Drosophila melanogaster: one gene and its partner. Changing the gene in region 2 together with the main gene of any one other region gives a genetic interaction. Each region holds a gene or a part of one and is shown on either strand. Other genes may lie near its edges.

Evidence for each region. Genes that interact genetically often act in the same process or in processes that back each other up.
Region 1: of Rab35 (region 2) and wkd, changing one suppresses a phenotype caused by changing the other (phenotypic suppression), as found in Drosophila melanogaster (one study listed by BioGRID).

Annotation. Positions count from the first base shown.
Region 1 is NT_033777.3:11,579,644-11,585,808, forward strand, and holds wkd (whacked), read left to right. Parts: upstream 1-1,932; 5' UTR 1,933-2,196; intron 2,197-3,283; exon of another isoform or gene 3,284-3,341; intron 3,342-3,399; exon of another isoform or gene 3,400-3,670; 5' UTR 3,671-3,706; coding exon 3,707-3,913; intron 3,914-4,057; coding exon 4,058-4,422; intron 4,423-4,480; coding exon 4,481-5,000; 3' UTR 5,001-5,662; downstream 5,663-6,165. Other genes in the region: CG5342 (uncharacterized protein), read left to right, coding at 28-1,793. UniProt on the Drosophila melanogaster protein: Essential for ensuring the polarized growth of tracheal seamless tubes.
Region 2 is NC_004354.4:20,155,243-20,161,448, reverse strand, and holds Rab35 (Rab35), read left to right. Parts: upstream 1-1,576; 5' UTR 1,577-2,501; coding exon 2,502-2,553; intron 2,554-2,920; exon of another isoform or gene 2,921-3,091; coding exon of another isoform or gene 3,092-3,110; intron 3,111-3,179; coding exon 3,180-3,479; intron 3,480-3,612; coding exon 3,613-3,866; 3' UTR 3,867-5,683; downstream 5,684-6,206. Other genes in the region: Phf7 (PHD finger protein 7), read left to right, coding at 1-531; aspr (asperous), read right to left, coding at 6,141-6,206.

The sequences.
Region 1 (6,165 bases), on a different chromosome or scaffold from region 2:
AGTACTAACTAAGTGTCCTGTTCTCAGGCGAGTACAGTCTGGCAGTTGAATCCCCGTTTTTTCTTTGGGGATCTGGAGTGAATCACATTAAATCCATGCCCGGGCGCAGCTTTATGGCGAACGAGGCGGGATTAAGGCTGCCCTTGCATGTCCTTAATACTCCTCACCTGACAGCCTTGATGAGTGCCCTTCTAGGAGTCCCACCACCGGTCTATAGCCGCGGAATGCTGCCCAAGGGAATGCTCAACGCCAGTTTGCGCTACGAGGCCAACGCCATGCTGATTAATGCCAAGCAGCTCCTGGCACAGGCTCGCCGGCTGAGGGAACTCCATCCCAAAAGGATGCCCGCCTTCTGGCTAAGCTTTCAGATGATGGACAACTTTGTAAAGGAGTCTTTGGCCCTCAAGAAGCAGCGACGTTTCAGGGCTCTCTTGGATTATAGCTGCAATTACATGCCCGTGCTGATCAAGGGAATGGACTATTTTAAGGATTACTATAGACATGTCTCGATTACGGCAGTGAGTTTTGCTGGAATCGCTTGGATATATTGCCTGCGCTGTCATCTAACAGTTGGTAAAAAGTGCAGAAATCTAATAGAAATCCAGGAGGTAATCTCCTCCAAGCGTTTGGTGTATGCCCGAGGATTTCATCGATTGCTGACAGGTGTGCTCGTGATTATTATGATGCTCGAAAGGATTCCTCTGGTGGTACAGGCGATCCTACTCATACCCTCACTGTACTGGAGGACGACGCTTAAAATTTTGGGAGAGAGACCAAAAATGGTATGCCGTAAGAGTTTGATGTCCACCGCCTTACTGGCATTAATCTGTTTCGGTGGCTTCTTCCGACGCTACATCCTGGCAGTGGGCTACTTGGGATTTGCTTCCTATAACAACAGGGAAGCCTTCAAGAGAAGGGGACACCAGTTCTACCTGTGGCTACTACTGCTCCTTGGACTCACCGTTGTGTCGGCTCTTCCGGAATCGCTGGGCTGTTCCCAGCCCGGAGCCCTCATGTTTAGTATCTTTCTTACTGTACTGCGTCCTTTGGCCTGTGGCGTGTACCTTAACCTTCTCACATGGCTGAGTAATATACCGGTTCTCCTTGCTGCCTTGGAGTACATCCTGATCGGCTGGCATCCGTGGATCATGTACTTGGTATCCTGGATCTATTTGGGATTTCTTGTCCTTTGGCAGCGTCGCAATCTGCAGGCCAGCGAGGTGTTCTTCTTCGACCTGAGCACACTATACACCCTCACCTGCACCTCTTATGAATCGGTGGTCATCCAAATGCTGGCCATGGAGTTACAGCTGGCCTTGCGGATGAAACTGAAGAGAAATGAAAGCATTGGTCCAAAGACAGCCGCCCACTACATACTAGTGTACAGCTGGTACTCCCTTTTCATCATTGGCAGCTTCCCGGCCTTCGATGACTTCCTGGATATCTTGCACGAGACATGTTTTGGATACTCACCTCTCACTTACGGCCTGGTTATGGTGCTGAAGCTAATCCTTCCCTGGCTGCTTGTGCTTTGCATCATGGCGGGAAACTACAAGAGTCTGGCCTCATACGAACAGCAAATCTTTGTGAGACTATTGCTTATGAATAGTGCCATGTCGCTGGTGCTTTTGCATGGGATTACAAATGTTGGTCCTTGGCGGGATATCCTCAGCAGATTCGCTGAGTTTGCGGTAGTCCATGTGTTTCCACTTGTCTGGCTGCTACTGTGGCGATTGACACAGCTTAAAGTGGGCTCCAAGTGGATGTCCCAGCTCCCGAATGAATTACTGTAAGGTCACTGAAATTGTTTTAATAAAGCGAAGAAGGCGCCATAAAACTATTTAAAACTCTGGCAGCCTTTACAAAAAAAGCGTAAACTTGAACGTTGCCACCTGGTTTTTGCTCTACAAAGTATCGATAACTTCAGCGACTATCGCACAGTAGTCGCTTCGTTGCCATCGCCAATCTCGCTCTCCCTTATTTTGCATAGAAAATAAACAAAAAGCTCTGCGGAAATAATGTTTTCACCTTAAAATCCAACACATTTGTGCTGGCGCAAGTGTGGGCTGGAAAATCCAAACGACAAATAAACCCAAAATCGCCTTAAACCTTAATATCGCCTATTGCGCATTCCACGGCAGCAACAATACCAGCAGAGCAGCAGCAACAACAACAACGAGAAGAGCATAGCAAAAGGTGAGGCAAAAAGTTTACATGTGAATGTGGGGGCGGGCGGTGTGGCAACGGTTAGCTGTTAATAACAACAATTGCCCCGTATTGTTCACACATACATACGCACCCACACTTAGGCACTGGTTTACTCATTTTGGAGCGCATAGGCAAAATGGCAGCCAAATGTCAGTTAAGTTAAGAAATGAATGGGCCCAAATAGTTGGGTCTCCAACGCGCCAACCGCCCCCTACCCCAAACGCCCGCCCACCCACTGAAGTGACGCGCCGCTGCCGAGATATGTATGCGATCTTGCTTTATATCACCCGCGACTCGATAAGGGTTCTCGTTTAGTTTCGTTCCGTTTCCCCGTTCCGCGATCCGTAGGCCTCCAAGGTCGCATTTTGTCGGCTATCTTGCAGCCTTTGCTAGATTGCATTTGTGTTCGTGTAGTGCGTTTGCATTGAGATTTCCCCCATTCGCTGATTTGCCACCCTTTCTTAGAGAGGGTATGATGTTTCGGAACTCAACACGGGATTGAAATTATAACAGACACTGATCAGTTACTTCGAATGCAAATTCAAACGAGCTAAACTATTCAGTCTTAAAAATGTTTAAAAGGCTTTAATAGTTTGTAAAAGCATATGATCTTCGACAAATTCTGAAAAGTACTGGGTATCAAAAATCTCGTTTCTACAAATTAATAGCCCTTCTTTCTGGCTTCTTTCGTCTGGCGGTTGCAATTATTTAGCCACTTGTTCTGGCGCAGACACAGTTGCCTCAATTAGTTATTGTTTTTGTGGCGGCCGCTGTGTTGAAGTGAGTTGTTCATTAGGCCAAACTCGAGCATCCGGCGCTGCATGGGGAAGTGGAAGTGCCACCGCCGACAGCCCGTGCCCCACTGTCATTAGGCATGGAAGAATCGCGTGAATATAGAAATACTCGTACTTTCACTGTCCCATTCCGTTTGGAGGCATCTGCTGTGGATGAGTAATTACCGCCTTCCAGCGGTCCGATTAGGGACCAATCAACAGCTGTTTACGGCGCTCTTGGCTTAAATATTGCAGAGTGAACTATTTAGATTTCCGCTCAGTTGGTGGACAATGCCTTTTCTGTATCTTTCGCCGCTGGGCTGCAGTCTGAGCCGACTGGAACTGCTCCACGAAGATGAGGTGTGACCATGAGCCCATCATATTTCATAATCAATTAATAGTTATCACCTCGAAATAGCCCAAATTTATGTTAACCAACCAAGTACTGATAGCGATAACGGTTGGAGATTGCCGAAAATAATGTGGAGCCAGCATCACAATTACGATTTCCTCCCAGCGCGAAGGAGAGCATTAGTCCGCTTAATTGCGCACTTGTTGTTATTCAAGCACAGAGAGGCTCTCGCCCAGATATTTATATCTACGTAGCTGTATCAGGAAATTTGCATTCACAATTAGTGGTTGCTGTTAGTGGGCGTACATGCCGATCGTGTAACGAAATCTGCTTTCAGTTCAAGGTAGTTGCAGCCGGAAAGCTGGCGTTGGCGATGGCCACGGCACCGCGATCCCTGGATACCATCTCCCTCTGCTCGACCGTTTCCAGCTGCCCGGACCGAAATGGCTTCTATGGCGGTTTCCAGCGCACAGACAAGCCAAAGGAGCCGCTGTCCAAGGCACAGATCATCGCGCGGGAGAAGAAGTGGCTCTACATGATCGACAACTGGTCCATTTACATGTCAAAAAACTACAAAAAGGTAATATTGAATTTAATGATTGTTTAAAGAGTGGTGATCTCACTTTTGTGCGAACAAAATCTAAAAGAAGCTCATAGTATTCCTATTAGTATGAGAATTCGACAACAATCTTTACAAAACCTAATGTTTAGTTCTATCATGCAGATCCGAGATCGCTGTCGCAAGGGCATACCCAAGTCGGTGCGACCCAAGGCCTGGTTCTATTTATCGGGGGCGTATCTGCTAAAGAAGAAGAACCCCAACGTTTACAACGAGCTTCTGGAAAAGCCCGGTAACCCGACGACCATCGAAGAGATCAAGAAGGATAAGCATCGCCAGTTCCCGTTCCATGAAATGTTTCTCGACGAGCAGAAGGTCGGACAAATCGAGCTCTTTAATGTGCTAAAGGCCTACTCGATATACAATCCCAAGGTGGGCTTCTGCCAGGCGCAAGCACCGATAGCAGCGTTCCTATTGATGCACCTGCCCGCGGAGGACGCCTTCTGGGTGTTTGTCAGCGTGTGCGATGTGTAAGTCCACCTAAAAGTCATATTTGCGCACTTCTATTTAACGTGTGTATTTCTATAGATACCTGCAGGACTATTTCATACCCGGTTTGGAGGTGATCCAGAACGATGCTGGCATCCTGGAGGGTCTGCTGAAGAAGACATGCCCGCCCGTGTACCGGCACCTGCAGAAGCACAAAGTGGAGCCGCTGCTCTACATGACCGACTGGTTCCTGTGCGCGATGACGCGGACTCTGCCCTGGGAGACACTGCTGCGAGTATGGGATTGCTTTCTAGCCGAAGGCATCCGCGTGATCTTCAAGGTGGCTCTGGTCATTATTGGGGCTTCACTAAGCCGACACAAGGTGCGAAAGACGTGTACTGGTCTCTGCGAGACGTTGGCAGTGCTGCGTTCACCCGAGGAGCATATCGTGGAGGAGGAGTTCATCATCAACAATATGATGCGACTGAATCTGCGCGTAGAGGACTTCCAGATCGAGCACACACGCCAAAAGGCTCGCCGTGCCAAACAGAAGGCACAGCAGGAGGCGGAGTCCAGCGGTTCCGGCAACGGACATCGGCGCAACATGCCAACGCTGTGAGGAACCGCAACTACTACTACTACTTCAACAAATTGTTACTAAACACACAAACAACACACACCATGCATAGTTGCATAAGATTTGTACGTTTAAAGTCGCATAGGAGGCAGGTCGTGCACAAAGTGGAAGCGAGTTGATGCGAGTGACCCCAAAACTGGTTCAGTCAGTTGGTCAGTCAATTACGGAGACATCATTCCATGCAATCAGTTTGCTAATTTTAAGACCATTCTTTTGTTGAGCCCATTCCGGGCTGGACTTGTATCGGTATTTGTTTTCGTATTATTCATTTAGTGGCAATTATTACGAGTGTGCAATTTGTTTATGCTTTTCAAAAGTATTTATTACATATTTATTATTATCGCGTAACATTTAAAACCGTAGCGTTAGCTTTGAGTTGAGGACCCCGAACATATCGTATGATTATCATGATGATTACCACCCTGAGGCAGCTGACACAAGGACTGGAGGATTATATAGTTTGAAACTTTGACTACTTTATCCGTATTAACTCTGAGACGAGAATGTTGATATTTACCTACGATAATGCGTTACGAACGACTTCTGTTGTGCCCCCGAGCCTGAAAAGTTTGGAGATCAGTTTTGTGACTGGTCTAAGGCAAAAATAATATAAAACTTGAATACTAATAAAACAAAATATACCGAAACATTTGTTTTTTGTTGTTGTATAAGTAAAAGCATTCCAGAGAGTTAATTTAGAATTTTAAATGTTTTATTTATTAACATTAATCAAACAGCGCATAAACGCTCACGTGCATAGACCAACTTTTTCGAGACCAATTTCTTATTAGTCGAAGCAGTGGTGCTGAAAATATAATTATAATTTTGATAATATCAGTTACCGTTCATTGAGATTATATCGAAAATAAATAGCTTGGATTCTTAATACTAGCAATTAAAGAGTAGCCTACAGCTAAAAGTCCGTAATCAGAATTAGGCGGTGTCTATGGGTAAACTATACGAATACTCTAATTAATCTCTTGAATATCTGAATCCGTCTGCCACTGGAAGTACACAGGTGTTGTGGAAGTGGATTAGGTTATTTCGACTTGGGTCATAAAAACGGGCTAGCTTAGTGGCAAAACGTAATCTATGTTCGATTCGCAGAACTATTAAAATAAAAAACGAACACGGAATTTAAAAGTGA
Region 2 (6,206 bases):
GATGATCAACCATCTACTTCTGCGGGGGCACGCGCTTTAGCCGATCGTGGAACTCGCACATTTGAATCACAGGGAACGCAAACAACATTTCTCTCAAGTGTAGTAACCTCGTTTCGCTCTGCTACTGCAACTGCGACATCATCCACATCCACATCCACATCCACATCCGCATCGACACTTGATAACCAAGAAAACACTGAGCCGTCCACATCGAATGGACGTCGTCCCTGGCGCCCTAGATACGTCTCGCCGCCTAGACACGTGTCGGATAGCGATGACGATAGTGATGAATATGATAGTGATGAATATGAGTCGAAGAGGCGCCAACTTACGCCCACTGCCGCTGCGCCGTCGAATGGCAGGCGTCTGTTGGGCTCCATCTCGCCGGAGCCGAGCACTCCTGCTCCACGTGTCTTACGTCGCCGCACTTTGGCCAACAGGCCTTCCTCACTCGCCAACATGGATATATCCTGTGTGGCCAATAGGACCCGCCACCGCTTGTCCAACCACATGGCCAGCCGCAAGGATTAGGAGAACAGATGACATTACAATAGATCACACTCGCACAAATCCATGTACACGGCAAGATCAATATGGATATATCCTGAGTGGGCAGGATACCCGCAGGGACTAGGAGAACAGATGACAACATCACGATACATAACACTTGCACATTCCATTAACCATCACATCGACTAGGTTGTGGACCAAATGCGTGCGTTTGGTTCGCACCCGTTATTCTCTATTTTCCGCCTTTTGTACATATAAAATTCCATTAAAATCCTGTTCTCCTAGCGGTATTCGCTAATAAGATGCATTTACCATTTATTTGCTTTGTTAAGTAAGCTAAGTAAGTGCTCCTTTCCACACGTATAAATAACTTGTATACATATTTACTTTAAGTAGCTGTAGACATTATTTTCCCCATCTGACTTTCTTTTCAGCAGCTCGCAGTGCCTACATTATTTCAATTACTCTAAGCATTACATTTTTTTGACTAGCGATCTAAGAATCCCTGAATCCAGTATCTGTATCAAGAATCCCAGTATCTGAACGCTAAAATGAAATAAATAAAATTAAAATATTTGAAAAATAAGTTAGAATGATTTTATTTGGATGTTGAAAAAACTTCTCAAAAGTTGTAAACTACGAATACTCACTTTCATTAAGAGTATAGCGTTTTGCTTCTAGTTAATACCCGCTACAAATCGGTATGAAAGTATATAATATTTAGTTTTTTTTTTGGTATTAATATAATATGGGCTTTATAAGTGATTATTTGAAGATTTTTTAAAAATCGCGCCATTCATAATAAATAAGTGCTGGATATGGCCAAAAGTTTATGCACAGGTGGCAACGTTAGCAACCCGCTAAACGGCAACACTTGCGATAATGTTCTCTAAATATATCGATACATATTGATATTAAAAAAAATTGCCAGTATTAATTTATTAAACTAATTTAATTTTTTGAGTGGGCACATTGCATATTTAGTTACAGAAAAATTCGACTTTATGCTCCGGCTAAATGAATCGATGTTTGTGGGGTACTATCTATCCTAAACTATCGATAGCATAAACATCGCATTTGGTTCCGTCTCTAGTGTGGGTGCGTTAGCAATAGTTTATCCAGAATATGAATTAACCAGAATTAATCCGCAACGCCGACGCCCACAAATTCCCACAAATCGTCGTCCTTTCAGCGCTGCAAGAGCAACCCGGAAGCTGGAAAGTTCGAGACCGCCGAGAAGCCCAATATAAATTCAACAGTCAGCCAGAGCTTCACTCCTGTGTGTGTGTGCGTGCGTGCGTATGTGTTCGTGTGTTGTGTCTGTGCTACAGTGTTGGAGAGAGCGAGACGCACGATTGCGAGGGAGTCGAGCTTTGCGAAAATTTGCCAGCCTATATTGAAATATTTTCGGCACCAAATCGCCGTCTTATCCGCCAGCAAGCCATTGGATCTGATGGAAATGAGCCTGCCGCTCGATTTCTCTTCGCAAATCCGCTGTTAAAGCAAAAGCAACAATTGTACCAGTGGAGCCAAAAAAAGAGAAACACACCTACCTAATCAAAGGAAATTAAATAACAAGGCGGCGGCAACAACACTTACATAAATTAACTCGCAACGCAACAACACTAATAACTATAGCTTATCACACAGCAACAAAAACATCAGCAACAGCAGCAAAAACAACAACAACAACAGACCAGCAGCCAGAAAGAACAACAGCTTATCTCAGATATTCAGCCGGCTGCACCAGTGCGAGCGAGAGGGTCGTAGCTTGGGGCGAAAGAGAGGGCGCTTCCGAGAGAGTGCGAAAGAGAGAGAGAGAGAGAGTAAGCGCAGGGAGTGTGCTCCTGTGTGTGTGAGTGTGGGAGCAGGCAGCAGAAAAAAAGAAAACAAAAGTATATTTTGCATTGTTCGACGCGCCTAACTGTAAATATAAAAGCACTTGCAAAAACAAGGAAAAACACAGAAAAACAGCGAAAAAACGTCGAAAAATGGCACGCGGCTTCGATCATCTATTCAAGTTGCTAATAATCGGCGATAGCGGTGAGTTTCCCAGGCATTCCCGTTTCCCACAGACCAGGTGCTTAAAAATAGCATCGAGTTGAAAATAGCAGGTGTAAATTGCAATTTGTCCCCGTTTCCTGGCCAAAAACGCAGTTGTCTCCACCTCCCTTTCGCATTACTGCATCTGATTACCATTAATGTATGTTACATTTAAAATGCTAACGCCAACATGGCGTATGAGTAATGTTGTTTTCAGTTTCCATAATACTTTCAACATTCGTCAGCTTCTTGTTTCTATACTCAATGTTTTTGGCATACTCAACATGTGTTAGGTTGTACTAATTTTATATATTTAATCATAAATGCAAAAGCACTTTATATCAGTCCTGTCCTCCTCCTAACGTAGCTATCTACATATTCATTTGGGCGTATTTCGAGAAAGGTGGTCTGGCTCGGGCAAAACCAGGCTCATGACTAATGGTGACGCACTGGCAGGATATACAGCTTGATATGCGAGCAGACCAGCTGCGGCGGTAACCGGAGCAGGAGAACACTCCCCGCTCCACAGCAATGTCATATGCCGAATGGGCTTACTTGTGTGTAGTAACGATATCACATTTTTGTAATACGAATCCCATTCCATCTTTCCATCTGATCCCCTGCAGGCGTGGGCAAGTCGTCGCTGCTCATCCGGTTCTCGGACGACACATTCTCAGGCAGTTACATCACCACCATCGGCGTGGACTTTAAGATCCGCACCGTGGACATCGAGGGCATGCGCGTAAAGCTGCAGATCTGGGACACGGCCGGGCAGGAGCGCTTCCGGACAATCACCAGCACCTACTACCGCGGCACCCACGGCGTCATTGTCGTCTACGACGTCACGAACGGCGAATCCTTTGCGAACGTCCGCCGCTGGCTGGAGGAGATCCAGAATAACTGCGATGTGGTTAAAAAAGTATTAGGTGAGCCTATATCGTATTACGCACAGAATTGGTTGACCCGTACTGAGAAGTAGTTGTTGGCTATGCCAAGCGGAGCTTAATTAGTAGACAACTTACATTATCGATATAGACTCATGTTTCGATTCCTCAACAGTGGGCAACAAGAACGACGATCCGGACAGGAAGGTGGTCATTACCGAAGACGCGCAGCGGTTTGCGAAACAAATGGACATCGAGCTATTCGAGACATCTGCCAAAGACAACATAAACGTGGAGAACATGTTCTTGTCGATTACGCGACAGGTGCTCGATCACAAGCTGCGCACCTCCCCCAACGAGCAGCAGAAGGACACGCTCCATCTGAAGCCCAATCCCAAGGGCAGCAAGGGTGGGAAGTGCTGCAGGTGAAAGCGGCTCCGGCACGGGAGCTGGCATTGCAACTGGACCGACGGCGACGGCGGCGGCGGCGGCGGCGGCGGGACGGGAATTGGAACTGAAATTAGGACCAGGACCTGGATCAACTTCGGGGGCGGACGGAATCGTTGTGGGGGCGCGTAGTTTGTAGGGTTCTTGGCTTACGATTCGACACAGACACTCACTCACATAGACATAGCTAACACCACCAAACAACCAACAACAAGAAACCACACAAAGCAAACAACACGAGACAACTGAACAACACTCACACCCACTAGAGACAACAATTTTTTTTGTTTTGTTTTTTTTTTTCCTCCTCAGTTTTATTCGGAATAATGCCAGATAGCCGTAAATTAAAGTGTAAAAGTGTAAAGCGCAATTAAATGTATTTAGCAATTTATATACATATTAATATATACATACATAAACAAAATTGAAACAAATTGCATATTTATATACAAGAATATATTTATATTTCAAACGGAAAATTGTATTTACAATAACAAGAGCGACCGCAGGAAAAGGCACGAGGACGCAAACGCCTCGCTCGCTAGCTAAGCTACGAAACACATTTATAGAAATATATAAATATATATACATAGATATACATATGTGGGGAGATCAAATTATTGGCTTCCGATCGCGACTCTCCACTTTTAATACTCCCATAGTTTAAAATTTAAAAACGAAAGCTCTGATCTGCCGACTATCAATCGCGAAAGACACGTTTTGAATGAATCTGAAATTTTATTTGCTTGGAGTGATGCTTTTAAACATTTCGTTGCTCTCGGAAACTGCCTTACTTGTTAAGATTTCATTTGATATTATTGCCGCCATTCCGTGATTGATTTAACTGGATAAACTAAAGAACTTCAGGGACTGTTTCCAATTCTTTTGGATGTGCTTGCTTAAAATGAAAAACCTGAAACTGTCAGCCAATATGATTTCCAATGCAAATTTTCTGAAGAGAAATAGTTGTAGGTAATGTTTGTATCTATTCGAAAACCGGGGAACCAATACTCCAATTCTCTGATATTATATACATACATTACATATGTACCCTCAGAAAGAATAAAGATTGATCTTTGGAAAAACACGATTACTTGCGCTCGGACTGTAATTCAAAACCATGTTTTTAATCCATAGCTATGTTGAATATGTCCAAAATGTAGCCACTTTTCATTTAAGTCCTTAGGCATTGCTGATTTAAAATTAAATAAGATATGATTGGCAATCAACATTTTGTGGCATTCTTTTATGCCACAAATGCATTTAATACATCGCTACATTTGTATTGTATCTAAGTTAAAAACGCACCAAATCGCACTGCAAGCACGTTCGTTATTTTTGGTAAACTTTCCCGATTTTACAATTTTTGTTAGCTTCTAAAAGTAGTTGCATACTCTTCGGCGACTCTATGAAACGAGTGAATAACGTAGTAACGAAGCGCACTAGAATTTATATTTATATGTTCACAATGTACATATGGGTTCGCTTTGTGGTAACCATATTTATTCTGCTTAAAAAACCATTCGATTCATAGATTTATTTTAAATACCACAATAATCGATTTCGGTTCCAGTATATATTTATTTATATGTAAACCTTGAGCTATACCCAAAATTCAAAGACTATGTTATTGCGTTTGAATACCAAAATGAATTACCTAGTTGTGGTTTGGGCTGAAAAAAGCTTTCAGAAAGTGAGGCAAACTCATAGTTAAATACTATTCTCGAATATGAAACCTATATTTCATACCAACCAAAAGAAAACTATATATTTATATAAATGTATATATATATCTATATATATAGATGTATATATTTATCGATCAAAATAAAGAAGGCAATTTGATTTTCTAAAATGTTTGGTCTTTTGCATTTAGCCGTTAAGATTTTGGGTTGGATTTCGGTACTAAGACAATCAGTAATATAATCTTTATATCTTTAAAATGGAATTTTTTCCCTTCTGCAGTATTTGAAAACAATTTGTTTAACTTTTTTATGATGTATTCAGTTGTTTGTGACTTTACGGATCCCAGAAAAATAGCACATTGTTTATGATTATTATTTACTTGTATTATTTATTGTTTTTCAACGCATTTTTTATCGCTTCTGTTGGGGAGAGCACGAGGTTAGGGCAACGACTAGTACGGGAAGTGGGCAGATGCGGATTGGTGCGGATTGGGATGGGGATTGGCTGGGCGGATGGTGACTGGTTTGGCAGGCAGTGCGGCTCCGGGACTATACGACTCCCCATCCCGCCTCAGTGGTACTTGGCCACGGGAAAGGTGCGCGTCTGGCGACAGGACACCAGGGCGTCGCCCGACTG